4 linked regions of the Ovis aries genome follow. The protein of the gene in region 2 purifies or fractionates together with the protein of the main gene of each other region. This does not show direct contact. Links are inferred from orthologs where the notes say so. Each region holds a gene or a part of one and is shown on either strand. Other genes may lie near its edges. The genes, in order: ANKRD28, PPP6R1, ANKRD52 and ANKRD44.

Evidence for each region.
Region 1: the proteins of PPP6R1 (region 2) and ANKRD28 purify together in Homo sapiens (co-immunoprecipitation; 4 studies listed by BioGRID and IntAct, with this or other methods). This does not show direct contact. The link is inferred for Ovis aries from reciprocal best matches to the Homo sapiens genes PPP6R1 and ANKRD28.
Region 3: the proteins of PPP6R1 (region 2) and ANKRD52 purify together in Homo sapiens (co-immunoprecipitation; 3 studies listed by BioGRID and IntAct, with this or other methods). This does not show direct contact. The link is inferred for Ovis aries from reciprocal best matches to the Homo sapiens genes PPP6R1 and ANKRD52.
Region 4: the proteins of PPP6R1 (region 2) and ANKRD44 purify together in Homo sapiens (co-immunoprecipitation; 5 studies listed by BioGRID and IntAct, counting the BioPlex papers as one, with this or other methods). This does not show direct contact. The link is inferred for Ovis aries from reciprocal best matches to the Homo sapiens genes PPP6R1 and ANKRD44.

What each region holds. Positions count from the first base shown.
Region 1 is NC_056054.1:273,857,688-273,864,837, reverse strand, and holds the start of ANKRD28 (serine/threonine-protein phosphatase 6 regulatory ankyrin repeat subunit A), read left to right. Parts: upstream 1-2,270; 5' UTR 2,271-3,701; coding exon 3,702-3,818; intron 3,819-4,945; coding exon 4,946-5,029; intron 5,030-7,150. UniProt on the Homo sapiens protein: Regulatory subunit of protein phosphatase 6 (PP6) that may be involved in the recognition of phosphoprotein substrates. Involved in the PP6-mediated dephosphorylation of NFKBIE opposing its degradation in response to TNF-alpha.
Region 2 is NC_056067.1:63,000,567-63,007,234, forward strand, and holds part of PPP6R1 (serine/threonine-protein phosphatase 6 regulatory subunit 1), read left to right. Parts: coding exon 1-5; intron 6-1,261; coding exon 1,262-1,374; intron 1,375-1,451; coding exon 1,452-1,565; intron 1,566-1,663; coding exon 1,664-1,826; intron 1,827-1,916; coding exon 1,917-2,069; intron 2,070-2,159; coding exon 2,160-2,294; intron 2,295-2,665; coding exon 2,666-2,730; intron 2,731-2,815; coding exon 2,816-2,931; intron 2,932-3,008; coding exon 3,009-3,094; intron 3,095-3,211; coding exon 3,212-3,301; intron 3,302-3,367; coding exon 3,368-3,465; intron 3,466-5,340; coding exon 5,341-5,398; intron 5,399-5,480; coding exon 5,481-5,653; intron 5,654-6,668. UniProt on the Homo sapiens protein: Regulatory subunit of protein phosphatase 6 (PP6). May function as a scaffolding PP6 subunit. Involved in the PP6-mediated dephosphorylation of NFKBIE opposing its degradation in response to TNF-alpha.
Region 3 is NC_056056.1:163,290,749-163,298,079, forward strand, and holds the start of ANKRD52 (serine/threonine-protein phosphatase 6 regulatory ankyrin repeat subunit C), read left to right. Parts: upstream 1-2,998; 5' UTR 2,999-3,123; coding exon 3,124-3,150; intron 3,151-3,459; coding exon 3,460-3,543; intron 3,544-3,997; coding exon 3,998-4,076; intron 4,077-4,267; coding exon 4,268-4,338; intron 4,339-5,369; coding exon 5,370-5,570; intron 5,571-6,081; coding exon 6,082-6,169; intron 6,170-6,286; coding exon 6,287-6,429; intron 6,430-6,731; coding exon 6,732-6,944; intron 6,945-7,197; coding exon 7,198-7,276; intron 7,277-7,331. UniProt on the Homo sapiens protein: Putative regulatory subunit of protein phosphatase 6 (PP6) that may be involved in the recognition of phosphoprotein substrates.
Region 4 is NC_056055.1:199,621,536-199,628,899, reverse strand, and holds the start of ANKRD44 (serine/threonine-protein phosphatase 6 regulatory ankyrin repeat subunit B), read left to right. Parts: upstream 1-2,849; 5' UTR 2,850-2,931; coding exon 2,932-2,958; intron 2,959-7,364. UniProt on the Homo sapiens protein: Putative regulatory subunit of protein phosphatase 6 (PP6) that may be involved in the recognition of phosphoprotein substrates.

The sequences.
Region 1 (7,150 bases), on a different chromosome or scaffold from region 2:
CTTACTTGCTCAAGGTCACACAGTTATGTTTCTTAGTAGGAAGCCGGATTAGATTAGTTTGGTTACAGAGCCTATCCTCTCAGTCACTGTTCTGTTACAGTGTGTCTCCAAGGTGAACATCTCTGGAGATTATTATTCTCAGAAGTCTAAGTCTTAGACTCAAGGACTAAAGCAGCTTGCTCAAAGACACAGCTTTGTCTTGGAATCTGAACTCCAGGTAGGCTGACTGCTGAGCCCACAGCTTTAACTGTCATTCAGTATCATTGTTTTATATGCTGTCAACTTACAGGTTTAAGCTGCTCTCCCACTAGAGACACAGCATTCATTTTGCTGCACTTTAATACCACCATGTTTACTGGTTAAAATACATGAATCCTACCCCCACTGTCTTTCATATTTTTGCCACTCTATTCCAGAGTCTTGTGACATAATAGAATTTATTTCAGTGAGACTATTTACAGACGGAAGATATTGGAGGAAACAATATGTATGTAACATAGCCCCTGCCTTCAAGGAGCTTGCTTTCTGTTTGGGAAAAACCAAAGTACGGAATTTAACCTAGAGCAAGAAAACAGGATGTACTTGCCTAGGTCTAAGTAGGTGAACTTACATACTGGAGACTTTAGAACAAGCTAAAATTGTCTGTATAAAAAAAAGATTTTGTTTGAGGGGTGAGGCCCCCTGACAGTGACAGTATATTGTTACTATAGTGGTTTCATGCATGTCAGAATACTTGCATGTCTTTAATTTGACTGAAAACCATTTACATTTTTAAAAATAACTAAGTGATTTTTTTAGCACATTTTAGTACAGTTACGTTAGGATTATAGGTTTTTACATAAATTGATAATGGGTTTTGTTGTTAAATTCTGGCTTTCTTGTTTATATTATGCTGGATTTTTTTTTTTTTTTTTTTTTTTAGTGTTCTGATAAATCAACTGACTTAAGTGTGTGAGGTAACATTAGCCCTGAAGAACCTATTTAAAAATAACTTGTTTGGGAATATTATTGCAGTAAATAGTATGTTACTTTGTTACCTAAACTTTTCACAATCATTGAGATTGTTTGTCTCCTAAGATCACTTTTGCAGTCTGGTGTTATAGATCACAGAACTCTTTGATGAGAGTGTATGTGTATAGTCAGTGGAAGCAGAGTAGATTAGAAAGAGCATGTGTTTACAATTAGGTACAGCTTTACTAATTTGCCAACTATGGATATAATAATTTCTAAGTCTGTTTTTTCTCTGTACATATGGGAATATAGCAAGGCCATTGTGAATATTAAATGAGAATGTAACATTTAGCACAGGAATAGCTATTATGTTTATTAATAAAAATGCTGGTTGACAGATGAAAACAAAGATTGAGGCGGAATCATAGTATTCTCTTTGTCATTTTTCTGTGGGAAAATAACCCCATCCTTGAATAAAACCAAGAAATGGGGAGGAAATGGAGAAAGCCAATTATAAATTGGTTGTTTTTGACACTTATTTGTAGCTTCAGGATAATTACTTTTATAGGGAGGGAGAAGATTCTTTGCTTTGTGTTAACCCTTTACCTTTTTGGCATATAGATAATTCACTACCAAGGACTTGAAAGAATAGATTTATGTAGCTATTCAACAGATTTTAAGGCTTTGTTCCACATCCAGATGGGAAGACAGTATTATTTCTTTTGTGAAATTCAAGTGATTAGTAGAATTTTACAATTAGAATTTCTCCAATATGGGGTTTTCATTTTTCTCTTTCAAAATATGATTTGGTTGACTGAATTTAACAACTCAAGTTGTTAGTAAATCTTAAATTTCTTTTGTGTAAACTTCTTTACATTCTTGAAAATAACATACATCTAGTAGATTAAAAATGGTCTAGAGGAAATAGGCAGAAAACCTTGGGCTTATGGTATTTATGTTCTCATGAAATGCTCCTCCATCTCTAGTTCTTTCATGGGTTCACTGCATTCTCACTGCAGCTGTCACTGTAGGGTTAAACATTTGCCATATTGCAACATACGAAAGCAGTTAAACTGTTTGGAATTGTTTACTTGCTAAAACCACTGTTAGTCAGCAGAGGCAGTACACCAGATTTCCTTGTGGCTTTTAGTGGAAAATGTTAAAAGCGCACTCATTTTTCAGTTATAGAATTTTTTAGTTTGATCTGGATTAGTCACAGAACTGGCATGAACCTTCTAATTGTGAAGGCTGTCCAAACGCACCGTTTTTTTCTCCTGCTAGAGGAAGTCACATCCGGAGCAGTAGCTCAGCTCTCTGGTAAGTGAAACATGTGAGCATTACTAGGCATTTCACCCTGCGGTTCTGCAGTCCTTGCTCTTCAGAGTGTTGCTCAGTTGGAATGCTTCAATGGGGCCGATCCTGAGGTTCTCTGGTTTTTAAGGACCTACTACTCATTTGGAGGTGTCAGTGGCGGTTTGTAAGATCATATGAGGAACAGGAAAGCATCTGAAATCGACTGAAAAGGAAAACTGTAGCGGTTTTCACAGTGGAAGGAAACTATATTGGCACAGAGGCAGATGACTGAATAAAGTAGTTGGCTCAGAGAAGATGCACAGTCTGCTGTTTTTTCCTCTGAATGAAGACTCTTTGATGGAAGCTGCATTCATGTGGAGATCAAAGAAAACACTGGAATGATAAACTACTGGAGTTTTCTCCCTCTCTTTTTTAAAAATGAAAAGCCTGAAGCCGTAATTTGAGCTCAGACGCCTTCTAATTCCTTCACAGCCTGCCTGTTCCGTTAGGATTCTCCGCTAACACCGCGTCTGCTTGGTGCCTGTGCCCTTTCGCTGAAGCAGCCACAGACCACTGCCTGATGGAGGAGCAGTGAACACTCTGCTTTTCCTGTGCTGTCGATGGGAATAAAGCTAACTGTTTTCCTCTCTTATATGGAATATCTGGACTAATCAAGCCGTATTCTAGTACCAAGAGTCCTATTGTCTCTTGTGGTCTGACTCATTGCATGTAAATGTACTGCAGCTTTGCTATTAATGCAGAGTGTTGTTTTTTTTCTTTCTCAAACACAGAAAGAATTGTCAACCTCTGAGCAACGTTTTGAGAGCTCTAGCTATAGTTTTTTGTTTTTTTTTTTCCTCTGGATAGTATCTGTATTAAACCAGCGAAGCTGAAGAAGTGAAGACAAATTAGAAGTGGAAACCGAATAGTGAGATTTTATATTTTATTTTCAATGATAAGCAAGCCAGCTGCTGGTAACTATGACCTTGCAGGCAGGAGTGGGCATCGCTGTGACCGTCTGTCTCAGCACTTGCTTCTCGTCTTATTCTGTTGTGTGTGGTGCTATCACCCGAACAGTGATCTTTTTATGCAAGTGAATTTCTGTAAAACAGAGTAGTAATATGACTATCTTGGTAGCGGAAAAATAGTTTTAAATGAGCTGATTCCGGACTCAGTTTTAGTTCTTGACATGTTGATGTGAAATTTCTTCTAAGTTTTACAGTTAACTGACAGAAAATAATAGAATTGGGGTTTTTTTTTTTCTTTTTTTAGGGAGTTATGTAGTTATAATTTTAAGCTTTAGTTTTTCTGATAGTGCTTGTTAACTTTAAAAACACCAGCTGTGCTTTTTAGAGGATGATTCTAAGTGCTGTACAGAAGAGGAGGAAAAGCTACTTGTGCTCTTCCAACTGTGACTTTTACCACGTAGCTTAGAATTCAGCTTTTTAAAAGAACGAATGAGTCGAGTGTGTATTGTTGTTTTGGAGGAGGTAGAAGATGAGTCTCCTGCATTCATTTCTAAATTGCCACAGGAAAATAAATCCCTACATTCTCCACCTTCGGGAAATGTATTGGTAAGATACGAGAGTTTATATGTTTACTATCTTTTACTGAACTAGCAGGGTAAATTTTATTTTTTAAGAATAAATGCAAATTAATTTCCGCTAGTTTCATTAAAAACTCAAGTGAAAGCAATATAGGTGTGTGAGTATGATGTAATATTACTTGTGTATAAATGCACACATTTCCTATTTTCACTTTTTCAGATGTTTCGGTAACATTTCAGACTTTATCTCTTAATCTCTTAAAATGAGTTTAAAAAATAATTTGAGGATAGTAGGCTATAGCACCCATGTTTCAGTTTTTACTTTGTGGTTTTAGAAACTAATGTAGCAAGTATGAGGAACTGTATGTTTTAGGAAAGTTGACTGTTGTCAGCAACACCGAGACACAGCCTTCTCTGTCGTGAATTTTATATATTTACATGCAGGGCTGTTACAGAAAAAGAATCAGACTTCATCTTTAATTTTATTTTTAAACCTTATCAATTAACTTTTTGTTTGAGAGTATAATGTGTTACCTTATCAGAGAGGCTATATCGTTGATTAAGAACTTGTTACATTTAGACATGCATGTGTCTGCTTCTTCATGTTACTCAGATTTATAGTAATTTTTGGTCTTTGAATAATAATGATTTTCATCAGCTGTCAGGTTTTCTTTGGATTTTTATCTTTACACATGGAATGCTAACTCATGCAAATTATTCGGGTCCCCGGAACAGAGCTGCTCAAAGAGGCTTCCTCTGTGGGCTCCTTGTCAAATGCCTGTTTGACGAGCTGTGTCCTACAAGTATGTGTTGAGATGTCTCACTTGTATTTATTTGGAAGATACTTTCTTTTTACCATCTGTATAAAAAAAGGTTTCCACTCATATAAAATCTAATTATGGTTATAATACTACCTAATTTTGGTCATGTGGAATTGATTTTTTTTTCAATTAGGCCTACTCTTTTTTCCAGGGATTTCAGAGGAATCTTGTACTTTCATATGATTTGACTTCATGAAACTTGGTTCGTGTCCAAAGCCAAGTGATTTTTGTTGTGATAGGGAAGAAAAATCTTAGATTTAAAAGTTATGTGGAAATAGCTTTAGCATCATCCCTGTGGTGTGATTAATGTTTTTATTACTCTCTTGTATTTTAGCCCTCACTGGTGCAAGCTATATTTAATGGAGATCCTGATGAAGTTCGAGCACTAATATTTAAGAAAGAAGATGTTAACTTTCAGGTAAAACAGTTTCACTGATACCAGCCTTGAAGCGTACTTTGCTAGAGTTGATGATTTTTGTTAAAAGACCTAACATAATTCTGTAAGTTTCTCTAAGCAAAGGTAGAAAGGTCTTGAGGCAAAAAGGAAAGGACTGGACGTGCATATTCAGGGTAATTACTAAAACCTAGGACAAGTAGGAGTCAGTGAAGGATTTCTGTTCCCCCAACCTTTTACTTTGAAATTTTTCACAGAAAAATTGAAAAACTTCTTTGAATAGCCATATAACCTCCAGCATTGATAACATTTGCCATATTTGCTTTCTCTCCAATATTTACACAAGTTATATTTATACTACACATATATTTATTCTTTTTCTGAATCCCATTTGAAAGTAAGTTATAGACATCATGACACTTCACTGTTAAATATTCAGATGAGGATTCTTTATTGTGAACTTAGAATAAGAGACATGCCTTAAATTTATAATATATCTAACTTGGTTCTGAGGTTAAATTGCTTTCTGTAAGTAATCATGGTAAACATTATACACAAAGATGCATCTATTTGGGTATCACAGTAAATAAAAACATTGTTTGAAAGTTCTTCAGACTTTTAAAGATACAGTGGATTTAACATTCAGGACTGATGTGAGGGACAGTTTTGGAGAGTGGCTATGTAGCTAATTCTGTGTATGTTTCTCCAGTGGCAAAACTTTTTAATTTACTAAGCTGAGGTGGGTGAGAATATATAATTAACTATAATAACATCAAATTTTTTACTGTATATATTTTTACTGGAAGTTAATGTTTTCAGTATCTTTTTCATACGTGATTCAGTTCTCTAAATGATGGAGAGTAGGGAGAAGTCGTGATTCATAAGGTCCCTATAGCAACAGCAAAACAGATGACCTGGAATTGATTGGCCAGTTCTAAGAAAGCCGTGTTCTGCCACCTCATCTCCAGCACTCATCTTTCCCCTCTTCTTTTGGACAGTGTATCATGACCACTTGATGTTAAGTAGATATAAGAAGTATCTTATTTTTTAAGGTTGAATTAACTGAGTAAATTTGAATCGTTAGCTAAAATGATTCATCCTCACATTCTGAAATGTAACCAAAATGCTATTATTACATTTTTCCCTTAAACATTGTGTTTAAGTTTATATTTACTGGAAACATTTACCTCATTCAGGATTTATTTTAAATGAAGTGCTGGTTACTTTATATAATTGGGGTATCCTGGAGAGTATACTCAAGACAAAATAATTGTAGGGGTATACACTTAGGAGAAGGAGAAAAAGGCATTTTGTTCTATTTAATATACTATTTTTTGTTGTTTTAAACAGAACTCTAACAAATCTCATCTTATTGAGGAAGTTTGGTCTATAATCCTACTAACCATGGTTAATATTTCTATCATTATAAAGCCTCATTATAGCCAACTGCTTTTCTGCTATAATAATCAAATTATCTTAAATTTTAAAAGTTTTATCCTCAAAAGATTGTTTTTAAGAATCAGTTTATTCCACTGTGATATCCTTAGAAACCGTTCTGTGTCTGTAACTAGTGTGTGACCTCTTAACTTTTATGACTTTTAGTCTTTGCTTTTCTCCTTATAGATTCCTTTCTTTGCTTACTTTTAAAATATTGTTTCTTAACATCTGCTAGCTTGATCTCTTGTCTGAAACATAGAACCAAGCTTAGAACTAAAAGCTTGGTTAGTGTTTCAGATCAGTAGACCCTTCTTGAGGGCGACTTTGTCTTTAATGATTCATGGGGTTTTGACAGTTTTTTAATGGTTCCTTTTCTCTTGTAACTCTTGATAGTTGACAGTATTGTCATCATCATATTTGTTGTCTTTGGCTATCCTTCTAATTTAGGGTGGCAATTTTTTCCCCTTATTTTTATCCTCATGATAAGGAATTGCATAGGATTTTAAGAGGCAAGTATGTATGTTTGTAATAAAACTTACACTGTTCTATAATATAAAACCTACTCATTCTAGATAGGTAATAAAATATTTTTAAGCTTCATGTCAGTGCAACAGTGGTGTTTTCTAAAATAATTTATTCAGATGAGTATTTGAGAATGACATCTTTTTGAAACTTAAATTTTTTAAAGTTACTTTTGTTCTTAGAGTG
Region 2 (6,668 bases):
ACAATGTGAGTGCTGCTGCCCTCGAGCTTCGGCCCCATGCTCCCATAAATGAGCAGTGAGAGGAGGGAGCCTTTGGAGCTGTGGGGGGCTGGGGGGCTCCTGCTGAGAACAGGCGAGGGTTACGCTGCTGGACGGCTCCCCAGGAACCAGCTCCTCCTCCCAGGAGTGCTCAGGGCTCTAAAGACGGCCCTCTGACCCGGTCCTCACTGCCACCGTTCCCAGGGCCCTCCTCGTCCCCTCTGAGGCCTGGCGGCTCTTCCCATCTCCTGTGCCTGGGTCAGCCCTGGTGGTCCTTCAGAGATGATCCCAGGGGCCCCACGTCTGTCCTCCTGGCTCACTGGCTGGCAGAGCAGAAGTCCACACGCATGGGTCATCACCCCAGGCACTCAGCCAGGGCCAGGCCTGGGGCAGTGAGGACCACCCTGCCTTCGTGGCAGAGGGACAAGGGGTGTCTGCTGGCAGCTAGGTGGCAGGGCTCGGTGCGGGGCTCTGAGGTGCAGCAGTGGCCGGGGGGGGCTCTGGGGGTCTGCGTGCTGGGCTCTGGCAGCCGCCTGCTGGGTTGGACTCAGGGCTCTGCTGGTGCTTCTCTCAGTTCATCTCGCAGCACCTTATCCCACACTGTGAGGCTCACCCAGTGAAAACACAGAAGTGTGTTCAGTGTACACACAGGGTGGTGCCGCCTTCGTGGCGCTGGTTTTAGAGCACTCTTCCTCGCTCCGCAGAGGAGACCCAGGCCCCTCAGCTGCCGCTCCCTGTTCCCCACATGGGGGCTGGGCCCCTGCAGACACGCGTCTGCTTTCCGTCCTGCTTTGCTGCTCCTGGTGGTTTCCTGTAGGTGCAACGCGTGACTCGGGTTTGCCTGTGACTGGCCCCTGGCCTTAGCAGCAGGTTGCTGTGTTCATCCCAGCTGTGTTCAGTGCTCCATCCTTTTCTAAGGCTGAGCAGTGTTTCACTGTATGGACGGACCTTGGTGGCCTGTCCGGTCCTGAGTTCGTGCGTGCTTGGGTCGCTGCACCCCTTGGCCACTGGCTGTAGATGGCATGTGTGGGGTTTGTGTCAGAGTCTCCTTTTCCAGGAAGTCTTCTTTGGTTTCCCTTTCTCTCGGCAGTCTCTCCTTCCCAGTGCCTATGTTCTCTCCCTCCCACGTGTTTCCCCGGGTCTGTGCGGCCCTCTGTCCTCGAGGGCAGGTGCCCCCCTCCAGTGCGTGGAGCTTCCTGATGCCAGGGCGGACCGGGGTCCTCAGCTCTCTCTCCCTCCCCAGCAACATTCCAACGCGTCCCAGTCCCTGTGTGACATCATCCGCCTGAGCCGGGAGCAGATGATCCAAGTGCAGGACAGCCCGGAGCCTGACCAGCTGCTGGCCACCCTGGAGAAGTGGGTTGCGGGGCCGCCTAGGCAGGGTGGGGAGCTGTCCCGGGCCCTCTTCCTTGACGCCCCCGCGCCTGCCCCAGGCAGGAGACCATCGATCAGCTCCTGAGCAACATGCTGGAGGGGGAGCGGAGCCCGTCCGTCCTCGTGAGTGGGATCCAGGTGCTGCTGACACTGCTGGAGCCCAGGAGGCCCAGGTGAGTGCCTGGGCTCCCCCCCCGCCGTGTGTGTGCATGTACACGTGTGCACAGGCCGCCTGCGTGGCTCACACTGCCCCCTGCCATGCCCGCTGCAGGTCTGAGTCCATGACTGTGAACAACTTCTTCAGTAGTGTGGATGGACAGCTGGAGCTCCTGGCCCAGGCAACCCTGGACAGTGCCGTGTCCAGTGCGGGGGCCCTGCACGCCCTGCGCCCACGTCTTAGCTGCTTCCACCAGCTCCTGCTGGAGCCGCCTGAGGTGGGCAGGGTGCTCGGGGGAAGCGGGGGGTGCAGCCTTGGGGTCAGGGCAGAGCTGGGGCAGGAACCAAGCCCAGCCCTCCACCTGCAGCTGGAGCCGCTGCGCACAACGTGGGGCAGCCTGGCCCCACCCCTGGGCAACACGCGGTTGCACGTGGTCAAGCTGCTGGCCAGCGCCCTGAGCGCCAACGACGCTGCCCTGACCCAGGAGCTCCTGGCCCTGGATGTGCCCAACACCATGCTGGTACTGGGGGCGAAGGGCTAGGGTGTAGGGGGCGGGGGTGGGGCGACGCTGGGGGAGCTGCTCAGAGCCAGCCTGTGCCCTCACCCCCAGGACCTCTTCTTCCACTACGTGTTCAACAACTTCTTGCATGCCCAAGTGGAGGTGTGTGTGAGCACGATGCTGAGCTCCGCGCCCCCTGCCGACAGCAGCTCAGACACGCCCCCCGAGAACCCTGTCGTGAAACATGTGAGCTGGGCTCCGGGATCCCCATCCCCTTTGGTCTCTGGGGAGCTCTGCTCAGGGGGAGAGTCTTGGTCTCTTCCGGAGGTCCAGAGTCTTGGAAAACAGACAGTTTTGTGCAAGGGTGGGGACTGGTGGAGTGGTGACCTCGGGGGCAGTGGGTATCCGGGGGGGACCAGGAAGGGTTCTCCTGGGGTGATGGCCCCTGCGCTCCTGGAGGTGCCTTCCTGGGTGTGGCCCTGGCCTCAGGGCAAAGCTGGAGCGCAGGCAGGCAGGGTGGCTCTGGGGCTTGCTGTGCAGGCTGAGTGGGCCCAGAACAGGTGAGCAGGGCAGCAGTGCTATGCTCACACCCAGTGCATGCCGCCCCACCCCCGCAGCTGCTGCAGCGGTGCCGCCTGGTGGAGCGCATCCTGACCTCCTGGGAGGAGAACGACCGAGTCCAGTGAGCAGGGGGCTCCTGGGCGGGGGCGGGGCCTGCTCCAGGGGGCCGGGCGGCCCGAGTCCAGCGCTGGCTTCCCTCTCTCCAGGTCTGCAGGGGGCCCTCGGAAAGGCTACATGGGCCACTTGACGAGCGTGGCCAATGCCCTGGTGCAGAACTCGGAGAAAGGGCCCAATGCAGAGCAGCTGCAACAGCTCCTGAAGGGTGAGGGCGGGGCGCGCATGGGAGCGGGCGGCGCGGGCGGGGCTTCCGTCCTTACGTCACACCGCCCCTTCCGGCAGAGCTGCCGCAGGAGCAGCGGGAGTGCTGGGAGGCTTTCGTGTCGGGCCCCCTGGCGGAGACCAACAAGAAGAACACGGTAGACCTGGTGAGTTTTCTGCGCCGGGTTCTCCTCCAGGCCCGGCCCCGCCCCTGCCCCGAAGCTCCTCCTGCCCCAGGCCTCCCCGGGCCCCGCAGGCCCTGACCCCTTCCCGCCCCTACCTAGGTGAACACGCACCACCTGCACTCCTCCAGCGACGACGAGGACGACAGGCTCAAGGAGTTCAACTTTCCTGAGGAGGCGGTGCTGCAGCAGGTGCGGGCAGGGAGGGCAGGGGAGGGAGGCTGTGTGCAGGCCTGCCCTGACTGCCGCCCCCCGCAGGCTTTCATGGACTTCCAGATGCAGCGCATGACCTCGGCCTTCATCGACCACTTCGGCTTCAACGACGAGGAGTTCGGGGAGCAGGAGGAGAGTGTGAAGTGAGTGGGCCAGGCGGAGGCGCGGAGGGGCGCGAGGCGGCGAGTCAGCGCGCACTCACATGGTGCGTGTCCGGCGTACCCATGCCCACCTGGCCCGGGTCGGGCTCAGCCTGCCGGCTGCCGGCCTCTCACCCTCCACCCCCGGGCAGGAGCGGTGCGGGCGTCCTGGGACACGAGGCTGGCTGCGCACCCTCACAGACTCAGAACTCGTCTGCCTCCCCTCCCCTTCAGAGGCCTCGGCCGACCGGGGAGGGTCCTTTTCAGTGACCGGTTCTGATTCTCTGCATATGTTGTACCGCACGTCAATATCGATTGCTCTGATACTGCCCTGGAACTTTTTTCTTGATTGTCCGAATTTTCTGCCATGGACGTTGGTTCTTTTAACCGAGAGACAGTTAAAAGTTGTGCTGTTCTGTTGGTTTTACGAGCACCCTTGTGATGGCCGTGGGTGCACAGTGAAGGGAAGGGCAGGCACCTGGGATCCAGAGAGGAGACTGGTGGGGAGCGGGGCGGCTGCCTGCAGCCTCGCGCTGGGCCCTGGGGCCGTGTGCAGTGACCAGCGCGGCCAGTGTCCCAGAGCAGATCCGCCTGGGATCCCCGGGGGGAAAGCGGCCGACTCCGCGGGGCGTGCCAGGCAGGGTTTCCCAGTTGTGGCCCCACCTGTGTTGTTGTGGGCAGCGTGTTGGGCCCCTGTCGGGTGTCACGCAGTTACCTGTCAAGACCACTCTCGGCTCAGGAGCCCGTCTGCAGCCAGGGAGACAGGGCACCAGCTGCTGTCTGTTGTGCCTCGAGGCAGACAGAGACCCCCTGGGAGCAGAAGTGCAACCTGTGCCAGCTGCCGCTCTGCCTGGCCCGTGTGTGCTGGGAGGCCCCGGAGGAGACCCTGGCCAGGGGGCTCAGAGAGTGGCCTGGGCACAGCCGGCTGCGCTGTTAGGACAAAACTGTCACCTCTTTCATCAAGATAAACGCCAATGAGGTGAAAGCTTTAAATGTTGGAAAAAAAAAAAAAAAAGCTAAAGCCATGAAGTCTCCTGGAACAGAAAATATGTTTGCAAACTCAGGGCTTAAGGCGCTGCTCACCGGGCCTCCAGCCGTGCCCGCAGCTGCTCCCTCCCCTGAGGGCGCTGGGGTACCTGCCTCGGTAGGGGTTGTGAGCCAAGTCAGCCTGCGGGGGTTGTGAACGTGCTTCCTGGGTCGGAGACAGCAGGCAACAGGCTGGAAGCAGCCCCGGCACAGGAGAGGCCAGACCTCAGTGCAGACATGGTGCTCTCCCGCCCTGGGAGAGAGGCAAGCAGGGCCAGCAGCGGCTGTTGGAAAATTGCAGTGTGCAGGTCGGAGCGTACGTGGGCAGAGCTCTTCCCACGGTGTGGGTCAGGACTTAAAGTGTGTGGATTTGATTCCTTCATCCAGGAGTGGCGCTTCTGTGCGGCTTTCTGGAGGGGAGAGAGCCGAGCAGAGACTGGTGGGCACGTGTGGACGCAGAAAGGCTGGGGGTGCGAGGTGGTGGTGGGCACAGAACTGCCCGTGATCCCTGGGCTCCTGGCCCCTACCTGGGCCCTGCCTCGGGGGCCTGTGTGCCTCGAAATGGATGTCTCACTCAGGTTATGATGTCAAAGCCTGAAAGCCTAGCCTGCCCGGTGAGGTTCTGTGTCCTTTGTTTCATGAAGAGGAAGCAAGGTGCAGGAGCCTTAGGTCTCTGCGTGGGGCCTCGTGTGACTGCGGGCACACGGGCAGGGCGCCTTGCCCTGCAGACACCCTGCTGACGGGATGCCGCAGGAATGGCTGCAGTCCACAGACAGCCCTAGAAGGAGGTGTGTCTGCTGGGACCGGGCCCAGGAGAGAGGGTCCCTCACTGCCTCTGTGCCTCCCCAACAGCGCGCCTTTCGACAAGACGGCCAGCATCACCTTCTCCCTGAGTGCAGACGACGACAACGTGAGCTGCCCCGACCACTGCTGGGGGTGGGGGTTCGCTGCGGGCAGGTGGCCCACCTCACCCTCCTGCCCTGCCCCCACAGCCCAATGCCAACCTGCTGGAGATCTGCTACAAGGACCGCATCCAGCAGTTTGACGACGACGAGGAGGACGAGGAGGAGGGCCAGGGCTCTGGGGAGTCTGACGGGGAGGACGGTGCCTGGCAGGGCGGCCAGCTGGCCAGGGCGGGCCGCCTGGGCCAGGCCCCGGGCGTGCGGTGAGTCCCCCCGCTCCCTTCCCCTCCTCTCCTGCAGGTTCCCCAGCGCAGCCGGGCTGCAGGACCTGTGGGCAAAACAAGGAGAATGGAGTGCGTGTGTGATGTGGGCAGTTTTCAGTGTTGAGTGATAGAAACCCAATTCAGATGCGTTCAGGTTCAAGAGGAGTAACCGCTTGGTCCAGGTGTCAGTGGGGCCATCAGGAGGCAGGTCCTTCAGGCACAGCTTGGCCCAGTGGGGGCATCAGAGGTGGTCCTTCTGGCACGGCTTGGTCCAGTGGGGCTGTGGTCTGCCCACCCCGCCCTCTATTCCGCTCTCCCCTGCGGCAGCTCTCTCGCACGTGTTCTTGCCAAAAGGGCAGTGGGGTGTCACGCCAGTGAAGCAGGACGTGGCGATTGTCCTTGCTCACAGTCCAGCTGCGGGCCTGTGAGCCGTGTCCAGCCCTTTGTGCGGGCAGTGGCTGGCACAGGAGCACTGACTGACTGCTCTTGGGCAGCATGGACTTGCCGGCGTGAACACCAGCTCAGGGCTGAGCCCTGTGACATGTGACCGGCACTGAGATGACGAGACAGGTCATGAGACAGGTCATGAGTGGCGGCCGCATGGGCCTCCCTCTGTGGCACCCAGAGGGGAGAGTGCAGCACTCCCCAGCCCCTGCTGGCTGCCCGCTGCCCTCCGAGGGTGATGTTCTTCTGACCCTTGCCCTTTGAGTTTTTGCCTCTTATCCCATGAGTGAGGCCCGTCCCTTGGGTAGGTGTGGTTGTGCCCTGTGTGACTGCCAAGTTGCTTTGCACTTAACACGTGTCATTGCTGAATCCAAGGTCGTGATTCATCCCTGTGGTTTTCTTGGTAATGTCAGTTCTTAACGTTTAGGTTTTTGACCTGTTGTGAGCTAGTTTTTTAGGTGTGTAAGCTGAGGGGTCCAGCTTCATTCTTAGGCGTGGAAATGCCCGTGTCCCAGCTCACAAGTTGAAGAGACTCCTGCAGGATGGTCTGTGCACCTTTGTCAGAAGTTTT
Region 3 (7,331 bases), on a different chromosome or scaffold from region 2:
CCAAGGAGGTATAACAGGCCTGCCAAGCCAATTTGCTTGCTGTCCCCCCTACTAATTAAATTAGGTAATTATTGCCATTTAAACTCTTCCTAGTTCATCCCTTGTACTTGAAACAACCAATTTCCTTCCATTTCCCTGTCATTCTACATCAATAACTTCCTTCAAGTACTGGCAAAACACACCTCCTCCAGGAAGACCCTCTTGACTGAATCCATCTCTCAACATTATTGTGAACACATAATGCCACATAAAGTAGCTTGAATTCTATATTCTCTAATTGTTTCATGTTCATATATATGTTTTTCTAACTTATAAACACAAAAATAGACACTGTTACTTAAAAAAAAACCTACTATTACATATATTTTTCTGTTTTTTGGCAGCACCTCAAGGCTTGTGGGATCTTAGTTCTCGTTCTTGGTAGTAAAAACATGGAGTCCCAACCACTGCCGATGAGGGAAATCCTGAAACCATTACTTCTAAGTTTCTACCTCCAAACCAGTTAGTATAGGGCTGAATTAAATGCTGAAGCCTCAGCAAACGTTTGTCAGAAGAATGAAAATCGAGGCTTAAAGACAGGCGGGCATCTGCTTAGTTATCCAAATATGAATACAGTAGTGTACTCCAGAGGGAGAAGGCAATGGCACCCCACTCCAGTACTCTTGCCTGGAAAATCTCATGGACAGAGGAGCCTGGTGGGCTGCAGTCTGTGGGGTTGCTAAGAGTTGGACATGACTGAGCGACTTCACTTTCACTTTTCAGTTTCATGCACTGGAGAAGGAAATGGCAACCCACTCCAGTGTTCTTGCCTGGAGAATCCCAGGGACGGGGGAGCTTGGTGGGCTGCCGTCTATGGGGTCGCAGAGTCGGACATGACTGAAGTGACTTAGCAGTAGCAGCAGCAGTGTATTCCAGAAGGACACTTTGCATAGGAGGGCTTTAGGACCACTTCCGGCCTCCTTATCCCCACGCCTTGCATCTCCTTGAGCCCTGGTAGTAACTGTGTTACCTACATCATATCCTTTTTTCCCTATTGGGAAATCCTCTTTCTGTGCTCTGAATAATATTAAAAATAACTCTTCTAGCCCTCCCTCCTCCTTCCAGCTGCCCAGAGGACCTGGCTGGCAAACTCCCTTGTTCACTTCCACTCAGGAGCCAGACCAGGCACGTGACCCCAGTTCAACCTCTGACTCCAATTCCTCAGGTTACCAAAAGCTATTTTGGGCAATGGAGGCCATGTAGTCCCCTCCTCCCCATCCTCTGGGCCATATCCTAGGTTAGCCCTTCCTGGAAGGTCTGTCAAAGCCAATAGATAAGTCAACATGTCCCAACACCCCTATCCATCAGATTCCAAGCTACCTTCAGTTTCTACTTCTTCAGCCTCATCTTCATCATCATCATCATCATCAAGCATTAAGTGTCTGTTCTGATATACTTCTCTCCTGGAGCATCCTTTTTTCATAGAAAAGAAAACCAACATACAGTCCAATGTTGGAAGACTCTGGCTAACAAGGAGCTTAAAATCCCTTCTGAAACACTGGATTCCTGTATGTCAAAGATGTAAGGTGAAAAAAACAATAAAGATGCGCAATTTAAACTTGATTGTGATTGCAATATAGAGAATACAGCCAGTGTTTTACAATAACTATAAGTGAAGTATAACCTTAAAAATGTGAATCACTATGTTGTACATCTGCAACATATAATATTGTGCATCAACTATATCTCAATTTTTAAAAGTGGAAAAAAAAAAACCATCCAAAACAACAACCTGATTGTGACAGTGTAAACTAAGTATAGAAGTGTTAAGGAGACCTGTCAAAACTAAAAGAAACTGTTAACCAGGAAAGACTTTCTGGAAGAGGTAAGTTTTCAGTAAAACTGTGAATTTTGTTTTCAAAATGGTAAAAATTTTTAAAAATTAAAGGTATATACTGATAGGTAAATTTCTCTCTCATTCCTTATTCCCTGTTCCCCAGTTTTTCTCTCCAAGAAAAACCATTGGCACTTGTGTATTTTTCAAGGATCAAGATGATGAAAGTGATGAGGGTCTTAGATTGTCAGAAGGCAAAGGAGGGCTTTTATACCTCTGCCTATGTGTTCCTCAGATTACATATATTGAGTTGCTGAGCTCGGCACAGGACACTGAATCTTTTATAAATTGTATATAAATTCTTCAATATCTACTTTTCTTTTCTCTTTTTGCCTTTTTGGGAAGGTTGACCTCCATCTAGATCTTGCCTGATTAGCCTGGTCTCTCCAGTGGAGAAGTACCTCGACCTTTTTCTGGGGAGAAACTGATGAGTCTTTTAAAATGTAGCCACCCTACCACCTTAACCTGGCAGTGGAGTAATTAGGCAATGGAAAAGCCCCCTTCTGTTGGGCTAGGAGTCTTTCAGTTGCCAGCTAGCCAGCTAGCTATTTTATCCTCTCTGTGGGGTTTTCCTGCAGCTAAGAATCCTTGAGGGTCCCCCCACCCCCACCCCCCACTCCTCTGCAGTTTGGGCACTTTTGCTCTTTCCTTTCTACCCAACTCTTGTCACCGCCAGCGGAGATACGCGCCTTCCCTGCGTCTGGGACTATTGCCATATATAACCCCCAGATCTCCACGCCCGGCTTCCCCAAGTCAGTGGGGAATGTTGAGTTGTGTGATCGCGGACCGGAGGCGTTCGCTCGGCGGAGGCATTGTGGGCTGAGTGAGATCTGGCTCGCCATTTGGTCTTCAGTTTGGAAGGCAACGCAGGAGGGCCGAGGCCCGAGTTGCCGCTAGGATTTTGTGGAGCATCTCCCGGGGGCTTCAGACGAGCTAAGAGCCCGGCGCGGCCGGCCTGAGGAGCTGGGGAACGAGGGCGCGAGGTGGGGGTTGCCCAGGCCGCCGGGACCTCCGGGGCAGGGCGGAGGGCGCCGCGGCCTGGGGCAGCCTGCGCGGCAAGCGCCCTGCGGCCGGGCCCCCGACGGCCGCCAGGGAGCGCTGCGGGCTCCCGCTCGCCCGCCCCCCGGTAGGCGGGGCTGCGCTCTCCCCGCAGCCGCCGCCGCAGCCGCCGCCTGGGCCGCCCCGTGTCCCCGGTGGAGCCGCCGCCGCCGCCGCCGGGAGCTCGATGCGGACGGAGCCCGGGCCGGGCCATGGGGATCCTCAGCATCACGGACCAGGTCAGCCCTCCTGCCCTCGCTCGCTTCCTCCTTCCAGGGCCCGACGCCGCCGCCACGCGAGCCCGGGGATGTGCGGCCTAGGCTGGGCCCGAGCCCGGGGCTCCCGCCCCGCCCCACGCCACGCTCCCCTCAACCGAGCCGGTGTCCTTGGGGGCCTGGCGACTGGCGGAGACACCGTGGAAGCCCCCTGCAGCCAGGACCCCAGAACGAAGCCCCTCCGGCGTCGCCCCCCATCTCAAGCCCGGTGTCCCCCGCCCCCCTCCCCGGTTCCGCTCCGGCCCGCTCCCTGAACGCCGGTTCTCCCTGCAGCCGCCCCTGGTCCAGGCCATCTTTAGCCGAGATGTGGAGGAAGTGCGTTCCCTCCTCTCGCAGAAGGAGAACATCAATGTGCTGGTGAGTTGAGATCAGGGAGGATGGCGAACCGGTAATCTGGGCCCTGGCGTTCAGGACCCCTCCCCACGCGTGGGGCGGCTCCGTGTCTGTTCGGCTCGGGGGAGGCCGCAGCTCTTTCCACCCTGGGATGGGCGACTGCTGTACATTGGGGATGAAGAGCAGGGCAGTCTTGGAGCACAGACCAGTAGGGCTGAGGATGCCCAGAAACGGTGTTCTCTTCTGAACCATCCGTGTCTGCAGCGCCCCCACCCCTCCTGGAAGAAGGAGGTTGCTTCGCTGCCGGTGGCCCCGACCCCCTGACTCCACCCTCCTAGGTCCTGGCTTTGACCTAGGATTGGGGTTTAAAAGGCCACAGAACCTATGCGAAGAGGTTGTGGGGAAAGGCCTGGAGCACTAAGACTTGGAGTCCTGGGTAGTTCACCCCCATAGCCGCTCCTCTTCTCTGCCTTACCAGGACCAAGAGAGGCGAACTCCACTGCATGCTGCTGCCTACGTAGGCGATGTCCCCATCCTCCAGTTGCTACTGATGTCAGGTGAAAGTGGGGAGCTGGAAGGTGTGGTGCCCAGGGAGGGACCTGAGGGAGGAGCCTATTTGTTGTATCCAAGGATGGTCCAGCTGGGTCCAGGCGAGGTTCTGTCTCCATCTACATTTCCAGGCCTGATTCTGGCTTTTCTTCCCCACCTGCTCTCCAACTCCCACCAAAAGAGCATTGTGTCCCCACAGGTGCTAATGTCAACGCTAAGGACACACTGTGGCTGACCCCTCTTCATCGCGCTGCTGCCTCCCGAAATGAGGTACTGGCCTCCTCGCTCCTCTCTCCCTTCCGAAGCAGATGAGTTAGTTAAAGGTGGATGGCAAGGGTTGGAGAGCCTTAGTCCACTGCCCCACAGGTTATGGTCTACCCCCAGGTTGGGAGGAGACCGGACCTTGGCCCCTCCCTCCTACCCCTGGAACTGGCTGGTAAGGGGGGTGGGGGCTGAGTGTTGCCAGCTGATGTGACGTCAGGGGAGAGCTTAACACTGGGCTGGCAGACTGCAGGGGGCCCTGCTGCCAGGCCTTAGTGACTCATCCCTCCCAGGGGGGCCGCCTTGGAGTCTGACCCCCTCTGGGCACTAAGATTTCTTTCCTTGTGCTTGAGGGGTGGGGGGTCGAGGGGGAGTGGTTTGTGACATCCCTGGCCCTTAGGCAGCCTAGAAGTTGATAGCGCAAGGATCAGACATACCTAATCAGTTGGGCCCCTCAATCCTGAAGAGCGGGAAAAGATGACCTTCCTCTTGATTTGGCAGTCATTTCCCCTGGCTCCAGCCACTAGGGAATGGGAATGGGGTGGGTGGTGAACAGGAGGGGCATTTTAGCTCCTCTCTTCCTGGAGAGCCAGTATCTGCTTACCTAGGTAATAGAGATGATTTTGATACCTATGGAAGGATAGAAGGGGGTATTCAGGGCATTAATGTAGTGGGAGCATTTATCTTTCCTAAAAGTGGTGGGAGGTCAGGAGCCTCTATATGGGGATCTGCTCGGTAGTGGCTGTATGTGTGGGTGAAGATTTTCAGGGTATGGGTTGGGAAACGATACCAGGTGACTTGAGGAAGAGTTCTGTGTTTTCCTCAGCAAGTTAGGGAAGATTTTAAGCTCAAAGAAAATCCAGAAGATGGAAAGTGGGTATTGAAAAGCTCACTGTGTTGGAAAAACGCGAGTAACTCTGTGCTGGGGTAGTGGGGAGAGGGGACATGTGTTCTGTGCTGACCGGTTCTCCCCTCCATCTCCTGTTGGTTTACCTCCTGCTCCCCCTTTGTCTTCTCTTTTATCCTCCGCCCCTCCACAGAAGGTGCTGGGACTGCTGCTGGCACATTCAGCAGATGTGAATGCCCGGGACAAGCTGTGGCAGACACCATTGCACGTGGCTGCTGCCAACCGGGCCACCAAGTGTGCTGAGGCTCTGGCACCCCTACTGAGTAGCCTCAACGTGGCCGACAGGAGTGGGCGCAGTGCCCTGCACCATGCAGTGCATAGTGGGCATCTGGAGGTGAGGACCACTCTGGGCCACGCCCAGCTTCCTGCCTTTTTCCTTCCCTTCCCACCCCCCTTCCCCTGCTTCCAGGCCATTAGGCCTGGGGAGCAGCAGCCCAGACGATTATATAAATACTTGGGCTCAAGCACCAAATGAATGGTTGGGTTAGAGGGGAATTCTTGACTTGGACCTCAAGAGGGTGATAAAACCTCTGAAGCTGCATGGAAAATGTTTGCCTGCATGGCTTTTTCTGAAGGGAGAGTCCATGTCCTTCAGCACATTTAGAAAACTTCTTTGAAAGAGTTCAAAAACCACCAGATCACCTGAAGAGACTCTCTTGAGTAGTTTACCTCAGATTTCCACATCTATCTGGGTTCTCCTTAGTGCCTGCTTTCTTCATTCCCCCTAGTTCTCTGTTCTGCCCAAGAACAGAGACATTGGGCTGCCTCAGCCTTTTCAGGTGCTCTTAGGTACACTGAAGACAGGAAGCTGGCTCTGAACAGGTGTCTTTGCTGTCCTGCTACAGACGGTGAACCTGCTCCTCAATAAGGGAGCCAGCCTGAATGTTTGTGACAAAAAGGAGCGGCAGCCTCTGCATTGGGCAGCTTTTCTAGGTAAGAGGAGAATCGGGGGATGAGCAGGATTTGGGGTTCCTCGGGCAGGGATGTGGGCTTGCAGCCTTTGGAGGTGCTCACCCTCCATGTCCTTCAGAGAATGCTCTCCCTTCCCAGGGCATTTGGAGGTCCTGAAACTGCTGGTGGCACGGGGCGCAGACCTTGGCTGCAAGGACCGCAAGGGCTATGGGCTGCTCCATACAGCTGCTGCCAGTGGCCAGATTGAAGTGGTGAAGTACCTGCTCCGGATGGGGGCTGAGGTCAGGGTGCAGAGCATGGCGGAGGGTTTGGGGTGAGGCCAGGGAGCTGGAGTTCAGAATCTCTTTGGGAGATAGGAGGGTGCTGGGGTTCCTGGTGTGGTTTGGGGAGTTGGAGGGATGTGGTGAGAGGATCTGAATAATGCTTGTCTTAAGCAGAAGTGCCTTCAGTCTCTGGGTTGGGAACCTTAGGAGTCTGAGGCCATTGTTGGATTTCTGGGACTCTTTAGGCTATCTGTGCCGGCTTCCACTTTGTTTAAACTGATACCTCCCTTGTCCCCTGACCCTCACCCCTGGAAATCCAGATTGATGAGCCCAACGCTTTTGGAAACACAGCTTTGCACATCGCCTGCTACCTGGGCCAGGATGCCGTGGCGATCGAGCTGGTGAATGCAGGAGCCAACGTCAACCAGCCGAACGACAAGGGCTTCACGCCGCTGCACGTGGCTGCCGTCTCCACCAATGGCGCGCTGTGCTTGGAGCTGCTGGTCAACAACGGGGCGGATGTCAACTACCAGGTGCCTGAAGGGAAGAGTCTGGGGCTAAGGGGAGAGGACGCTGGCTCTGGGGGTGCTGACCGTATCTACCCCTCTGGATAATTCTCTGGGGAGTCGTCTGCTTGTGTCCTGAATTGACCAGACCTTCCCAGGAGAAAGTGGGTTGAGAAGATGTCCCTATGGTCACCCTATCCTCAAAGATGTGTCCTTTGGAAAGGGTAATAGGGCACGCTCCATGCTTTGCACTAGGGGAAAAAATGCTGTGTCTCCACAGAGCAAAGAAGGGAAGAGTCCTCTGCACATGGCTGCCATTCACGGCCGTTTCACCCGCTCCCAGATCCTCATCCAGAACGGTATGGACTTGGGAGTCTTTGTGACCTTTTCTCCTCCCTCCTCAGAGAACTCATC
Region 4 (7,364 bases), on a different chromosome or scaffold from region 2:
ACATGCGTTCCCAAACATGAACCCCCCTCCCATCTCCCTCCCCATAACATCTCTCTGGGTCATCCCCATGCACCAGCCCCAAGCATGCTGTATCCTGCGTCAGACATAGACTGGCGATTCAATTCTTACATGATAGTATACATGTTGGAATGCCATTCTCCCAAATCATCCCACCCTCTCCCTCTCCCTCTGAGTCCAAAAGTCCGTTATACACATCTGTGTCTTTTTTCCTATCTTGCATACAGGGTTGTCATTGCCATCTTTCTAAATTCCATATATATGTGTTAGTATACTGTATTGGTGTTTTGCTTTCTGGCTTACTTCACTCTGTATAATCGGCTCCAGTTTCATCCATCTCATCAGAACTGATTCAAATGAATTCTTTTTAACGGCTGAGTAATACTCCATTGTGTATATGTACCACAGCTTTCTTATCCATTCATCTGCTGATGGACATCTAGGTTGTTCCCATGTCCTGGCTATTATAAACAGTGCTGCGATGAACATTAGGGTACATGTGTCTCTTTCAATTCTGGTTTCCTCGGTGTGTATGCCCAGCAGTGGGATTGCTGGGTCATAAGGTAGTTCTATTTGCAATTTTTAAAGGAATCTCCACACTGTTCTCCATCTGTTCCACTCTTTGCGACTCTGCGGACTGTAGCTCACCAGGCTCCTCTGTCCATGGGGATTCTCCAGGCAGCAAGAATCTGGAATGGGTTGCCATTTCCTTCTCCAGGAATGAATAAGCATTTGCTCCAAATTCCACAAGTATTCAGTTCAGTTCAGTTCAGTCGCTCAGTCGTGTCCGACTCTTTGCGACCCCATGAATCACAGCACGCCAGGCCTCCCTGTCCATCACCAACTCCTGGAGTTCACTCAGACTCACGTCCATCGAGTCTGTGATGCCATCCAGCCATCTCATCCTCTGTCGTCCTCTTCTCCTCCTGCCCCCAACCCCTCTCAGCATCAAAGTCTTTTCCAGTGAGTCAACTCTTCACATGAGGTGGCCAAAGTACTGGAGCTTCAGCTTTAGCATCATTCCTGCGAAGGAAATCCCAGGGCTGATCTCCTTCAGAATGGACTGGTTGGATCTCCTTGCAGTCCAAGGGACTCTCAAAAGTCTTCTCCAACACCACAGTTCAAAAGCATCAATTCTTTGGTGCTCAGCCTTCTTCACAGTCCAACTCTCACATCCATACATGACCACAGGAAAAACCATAGCCTTGACTAGATGGACCTTCGTCGGCAAAGTAATGTCTCTGCTTTTGAATATGCTATCTAGGTTGGTCATAACTTTTCTTCCAAGGAGTGTCTTTTAATTTCATGGCTGCAGTCACCATCTGCAGTGAGTTTGGAGCCCAAAAAATAAAGTCTGACACTGTTTCCACTGTTTCCCCATCTATTTCCCATGAAGTGATGGGACCAGATGCCATGATCTTCGTTTTCTGAATGTTGAACTTTAAGTCAACTTTTTCACTCTCCTCTTTCACTTTCATCAAGAGGCTTTTGAGTTCCTCTTCACTTTCTGCCATAAGGGTGGTGTCATCTGCATATCTGATGTTATAGATATTTCTCCCGGCAATCTTGATTCCAGCCTGTGTTTCTTCCAGTCCAGTGTTTCTCATGGTGTACTCTGCATATAAATTAAATAAGCAGGGTGACAATATACAGCTTTGACGTACTCCTTTTCCTATTTGGAACCAGTCTGTTGTTCCATGTCCAGTTCTAACTGTTGCTTTCTGACCTGCATACAGATTTCTCAAGAGGCAGGTCAGGTGGTCTGGTTAACACTTTACTATGATTACATATACTACTGTTGTGTGTGTGTCCCATGCTCTTTTACAGCTGGGTCTTCTATCTGTTGAAGAGTAGGGTAACTGGATTTTGTAGAAATGAGTGGGTCAACTGGTGGAAACCCTCAAAAAACCAATTAACGCAGCAGTACAAGACCTTTTCTTCTCCTGTAACGTTGCTCCATCTTCTTCGTCCCCAAATCAAAACCCAATGTTTGAATTTAACGATGGGGTTCTGCGTGTCTAGCAGGGAGGTAGCTGGAGAACAAGGTAAAAGGGCCAGAGCCCCACCTCCCTACCCTCCAAGAGTTTCACAAAAACTAGCTAAAGAATGAGTCAGGGTCTCCTTGTATTAAACAAAGAGAGCACCAGCCTTGCGGTCCCTGACCAGGTGGGATGATTTGAAGAGCTGGGCGGATTCCGGACTAGGGAGAGGTTTAGAGGAAGGCGTGTGGTCCAATCTCCTGATTTGAAATTGGCTACAAGTGAATGCAGCCTTTATTGCCCCTCGGGTGTATCCACAGGGAGTGCTCACGAGGTTGTGTGTGTGTGTGTGTGGGGGGGGGGACGGTGTGTGAGACAGGGCGAGGGGAGGGGTCACGATCAGCAACCCCCCACCCCTCCCCAGCCCGGGGGCCTCTAAACGTGTACGCTCTGCGTGGGGGGCAGCGTGGGCGACCGGGGGGCCCGGTCCCGCTAGCCCGCGCGCAGTGTGCAGGTGCGGAAAGCAGGCGGCAGTCTGACCCTACCGTGGCGCGCCCGGTGCGGGAGCCGGGGAGCACCCTGAGCCGCGGGCTGCGAGGCGCGCCCGCGGGCGGCAGGAGGCAGCGTCGGCCCAGGCGGCGCGGCGGCGAGCGAGGCAACGCGCGGTGATGTCAGTGGCGGCCCGGCTGGCAGCAGCCGGTACTTCCTGTATAAAGGCGGGCGGGCTCGGCTGCAAACCCTACTAGCCAGTGTCAGCCTCTCGGCGGGAGGAGGAGGAGAAGGCGGAGGAGGAGGAGGAGCAGGGGGAGGGCTGTCAAATTCGGGAGCCAGATTTTTTTCCCTTCCCTTGGCAATCCCTTCCGCTTCCCCGGCTCCTGGCGTGACATCTGCGGACCGGGGACCTGTATGTGTGTGCGCGCGAAGGAGCGGAAGAATGGCAGTGCTCAAACTCACCGACCAGGTAGGGGGCGGCGGCGCCGGCGGGCGGGACGCGCGGGCGCAGGGCGGCGCGGAGCCCCGGCAGGGGGATGGGGGCGCGGCACGGAGCGCGCCCGCGAGCTGTTTACTCGCGGCGAAGGGGAGGAGTGTGTGCGGCCGCCGGCTGCTCCGAAAGCCGGCGGCTGCAGCCCTCCTCCCCGGCTCGGTCCCCGCCCTGGGCCGTCGGAACTGCGCGCTCGGCTCGGCGGCTGGGGCGCCCCGGGGGTTGGGGAAGGGGCGGCGGGGCTCTAGCTGGCGTGCGGGGGTGCGTTGTCCACGGGCCCGGGCTGGGCAGGGGGAGGGGAGGCTCGAGGTGCTCCTCCGGCGCTGCGCAGCTTGGGCTCCTCCAGCCCGGGCGGGCGGGAGAGAGGCTGATGCGCGCCGCCGGGAAGAGGAAGGTGGATGGAGAGGGAGAAGGATCGCAGCCTGGGACCCTTTTCCCAGCCAAGCTGGAGACCGGCCCAGACCGTGGCTCTCGTGTGGTCGGGCTGTCTTTATCCTTTTGACGTGACACCCTGACTTCCTCTTTGGTAGCCCAGGGGCTGTGTGTGCGTCGTGCACGATGGAGATCTCAGGCACGGCTGTCCCTAGAGGAGGTGAAGTTCGGCCCGGGGTTCCACTCACAGTCGGTGGGCTACCCTCTGCCTGTGTTGATGAGCTTTGTCGCTTTCCGGCTAAGCCATAGCACGGGGTAGCTCTAGAGCCCTTTGCTTGGAGAGGTGGGGATGTTTGCTAGCTCGGTTGACAGTCCTCGCTGGAGGTCTGAGGCACGAGACACCCCTACCTTTTCGGACGCTGCTGCTCTGAGGGCATTGACACAAGCGCCCAGCCAAGTTGTATGACAAAACTCTGTAACTCCTCCTACGAAAAAAGGAAACAGCTTCCTTTTATTTCTTTTGCCATTTATTCATGGATAGTGAAATGAACATTGTTTTGAGGTCCTGGTAGGCGGAGAGGCAGACTTGACTTTGACACAGGCGGTCAAACATGCCAGCCCTTGGTGTTTAAACATCTCATACTTCTCAAGTGGGTTGCATCTGGTGCCTCCCTGTCCTCAGTATCTAGCCAGAACTTCCTGAGACTTAAGTGCAATCAATCACCACAGTAATTTGTTCTCCTGCCTTTAGAGTCAAAGTTTTGCTTTGCTTTCTGTATTTACAGGCTTTAAAAATTTTCTTTTTATATGGGGGAGGGATCACTGAATTAAAATGAACCTTATCGTTAAATTTAGCAGGAGGAGCAGCTGGTAGTGATGAATCTATTTGTTTCCATTGGTTCCAGAGCATTTAAGAGTACTTGTAAGTTGATATTAGTTTAGCCCTACCCCCAACCCCCCACCTTTTAGTCACATACTTTGACAACTGTTAGACATTTGTTTTAAATCTTTCGATTTTAGTCTGCCTTGGTCATGTTATCTTTTGCCATTGCAAGTTACTCTACTTCTCTGTTAATCTCTAAATATTCATCTTCAAAGTACACAAAATGCTTCTAATAGGTGTTGTCATTTTCACATACACAAAAGAATTTTACATAGAACTTTAGAGCTGGAAGGGATGCCAAAGGTGATCTTCACCCAAATCCTTAATTTTTTAACAAAGAAACTGAGGTCTAGACAAGAGAAGCAAGTCTTCCTCAAGGACACAGCTCTTGGACTTGTAGGGCAGAGATGCACTCCTGTCTCCTGCCTTCCAGATTTCTGTCCTTTCTTCTAGGGATGGTTGATATCTCCTGCTGTCTTGTCATCAGCTGTGTTGAAAGGCTGACAAGAAGGCATCCTCTGCTAAATCAGGATCAACCCTGGTGAAAAGTATTTTTTGATTTTAGAAAGTTATTCTCCAGGACTTGTCCGAGTAGAACTTTTCAAAGAGTTTCTCTTTTAAAGTGTTTTTGAATACATCCCCACCCTTCCCCCAACAAACTAGTCTCACTGTGGAGGGCAAGAAAGGGTTGTATAATGTTTATTTGATTCCATCTCCTGCTGCATAACAGGAAACTAAGGAGTTCTAAGATTCATGGACACCTAGAAGTTGACAGCCTATGGGGCAAAGCCTGAGGGAGAGGAGGTGGACTGGGTGGGGTAGAGTGGTGAACAATTATGGTTTCTGGGAGGCCTTAGGTCCAGGAACTGTGTGGTCTTTCTTGCCTTATATAGTCTTACCTTTCAGTTTGAAACTCTAAATTCTTAGAAGCTGGTTCTTAACCTCATCAGAGGCTTAAAATCCTTTGCTTAAACTCCTACTACAGGAGCTTTGCTTCACCGTTATGGTAGGGAACCACCTGCTTCAGATCTGGACCTTACGAGTTTGTAGAAATGCCTCGCTCTCCACTCAGCTGTGTATTAAAACAATCACGTGTTAATTCTCTCTCATTTGTTTAATGCCCTGTTTGCAAGGTGGATCTTGTTTTTGTCAAAGTTCTTGGACTTTTAGTATGAAGACACATTCTTGTGTTAATAACCTGAATCACTAGTTGTCTTGGGTTTTTTTGTTTTATTATTTAGATTTTTGTTTTTGAGTTTTATAATTTGTTTAATTGACATAACTGGTTTATAATAGTTAAGTTTCATGTGTATATGAAAGAATTGGCATTTCCTGTCCTGCTGAAACTGGGTGCAGGAGCTTGCTGGCGATGGTGGTCACCTCCTCAGTAGTCAGTCCCTCGCTGACATCTCTGTCATGCAAGAGGAGGAAAATGCCTTTTCCGAGCTCTGTTTTGGGAGAGTTAAAAGAAAGGAGGAAGGGAGAGGCAAGTGTGGGGTTTAGTTTTTTTTTCTTTTTTCACTATGAAAAGGAACTAGGAGCTATTGCTGCAAATAGACTTCGCATTGAGCACTTCTGCATTTGTAACTGTGTCTCTTCTGTTTTCCCCTTCACACAATACACATCATTTTTCTTACAGCGTTAGGGGGACTGATCTTCCTGGTTTGCCAAGACTGAGGGGTTTTCAAGGATATGGGACTTTTGGTACTAAAACCAGGAGATTCTAGGCAAATCAGGACAAGCTGATCACCCTATACAGCACAGAACACACTCACCTATGTAATTAACATAACAAGGTAATTATTTCCTCATCGATGGATATTGGGATTTTATTTATATCTTTATAAAGTGAGAATTTTAAGTTTGGGAAGAATTTCTTTACATCTAAATGTAATACATCTTAGTTAAAGATAGATGTGAAATTCCTTGCAATATTGAACTTTATGGGATGAGGGGGGTGTTCTTTATGTCATATAGTGAAGACATTGCAGTGATTTTAAGAATGTCATATCTTCAACCTGGCCTGGTACCTCCTCCCCAAAGTTTTTCAAAGTTCTGAAGCAGAATGGTAAGTTCTGTCGGACCTTTGAAATGTTCACCATTCTTTCCTGAATTTGCTAATGACAGCAGAATGCCATCTCCTTCTCTAGGATTCTTGCTGTAGGTGGCCCTTTTTGGAGCTTCCTGCCTGGAGGCCTTCTGGTTTGGTGTCCTCTTGCCAAGTCCTGGCTCATATTTTAGTCACTCACCTCCTTGCCAAAGGCAATGGCTGGCAGCTGTGGCAGTGGCAAGAAACTGGAAATCCTGCAACTTTGAAAGCAGTGTTTCTAGACCATAGTGTGGGGCACATTACATGTTTTACTGGGCTGCCCTTGTCCTCCCAGCAGCGCTGGGCTTATAGCAAACTCTGTGTCCAGTCCTGCCTTCAGCAGAGAAGGGAAAATAAAAGCTTCATTCTTTGGACCCTTCTCTGGTTGTTTTGAGATGCAGTCACGTGGTTTGGGGAGTGCACTTGAGGACTGGTGTTTCATGGCAGAGACCTAATAATGGCTTATATTATTGTGATCTTATTATATGCTGGGCCCTTGCCGTGAATCATTTGTCTTAATCTTCACAGCCATACAAGGAGGTAGGTGGTGGTGTGATTCCTGCTTTACAGATGAATAAAGAGGCTAATTGACTTGTTTGAGGTCACTCACCCAGTATGTGATGGAGTGCAGTGTCCTGTACAGCAGTCTGATTGCACAGGTGGGGCTCTAACCACATGGCTGTACTTATAATAGTTGAAAGGGCAGTGTAGCTGAAGCCCTTACAGATGCCTGCTCTTATTTACCGGGAAGCCATCAGGTGAGCCAGACTCCCACAGTAGGTATGGCAGAGTTAGGAGCTGTTCTGAGGTCTCTACTCCTGCCAGACTAGTGCCTGACTTATCCTGTTTGCCTTTCACCTCCCTACCCTAGAGAATGATGTGTTGATTGGTGAGTTGGTGATTGTTTTTTTCTTGGTCATTAGCAAATGAACTATGATCATTGTAGAAAAATCAGAAAGCTAGATAACCCAAAAGAAAACCTGTTTAAACCATCTGAAGTCTCTATATCTGTTTACTCAGAGCTATGATATACTTCCCTCT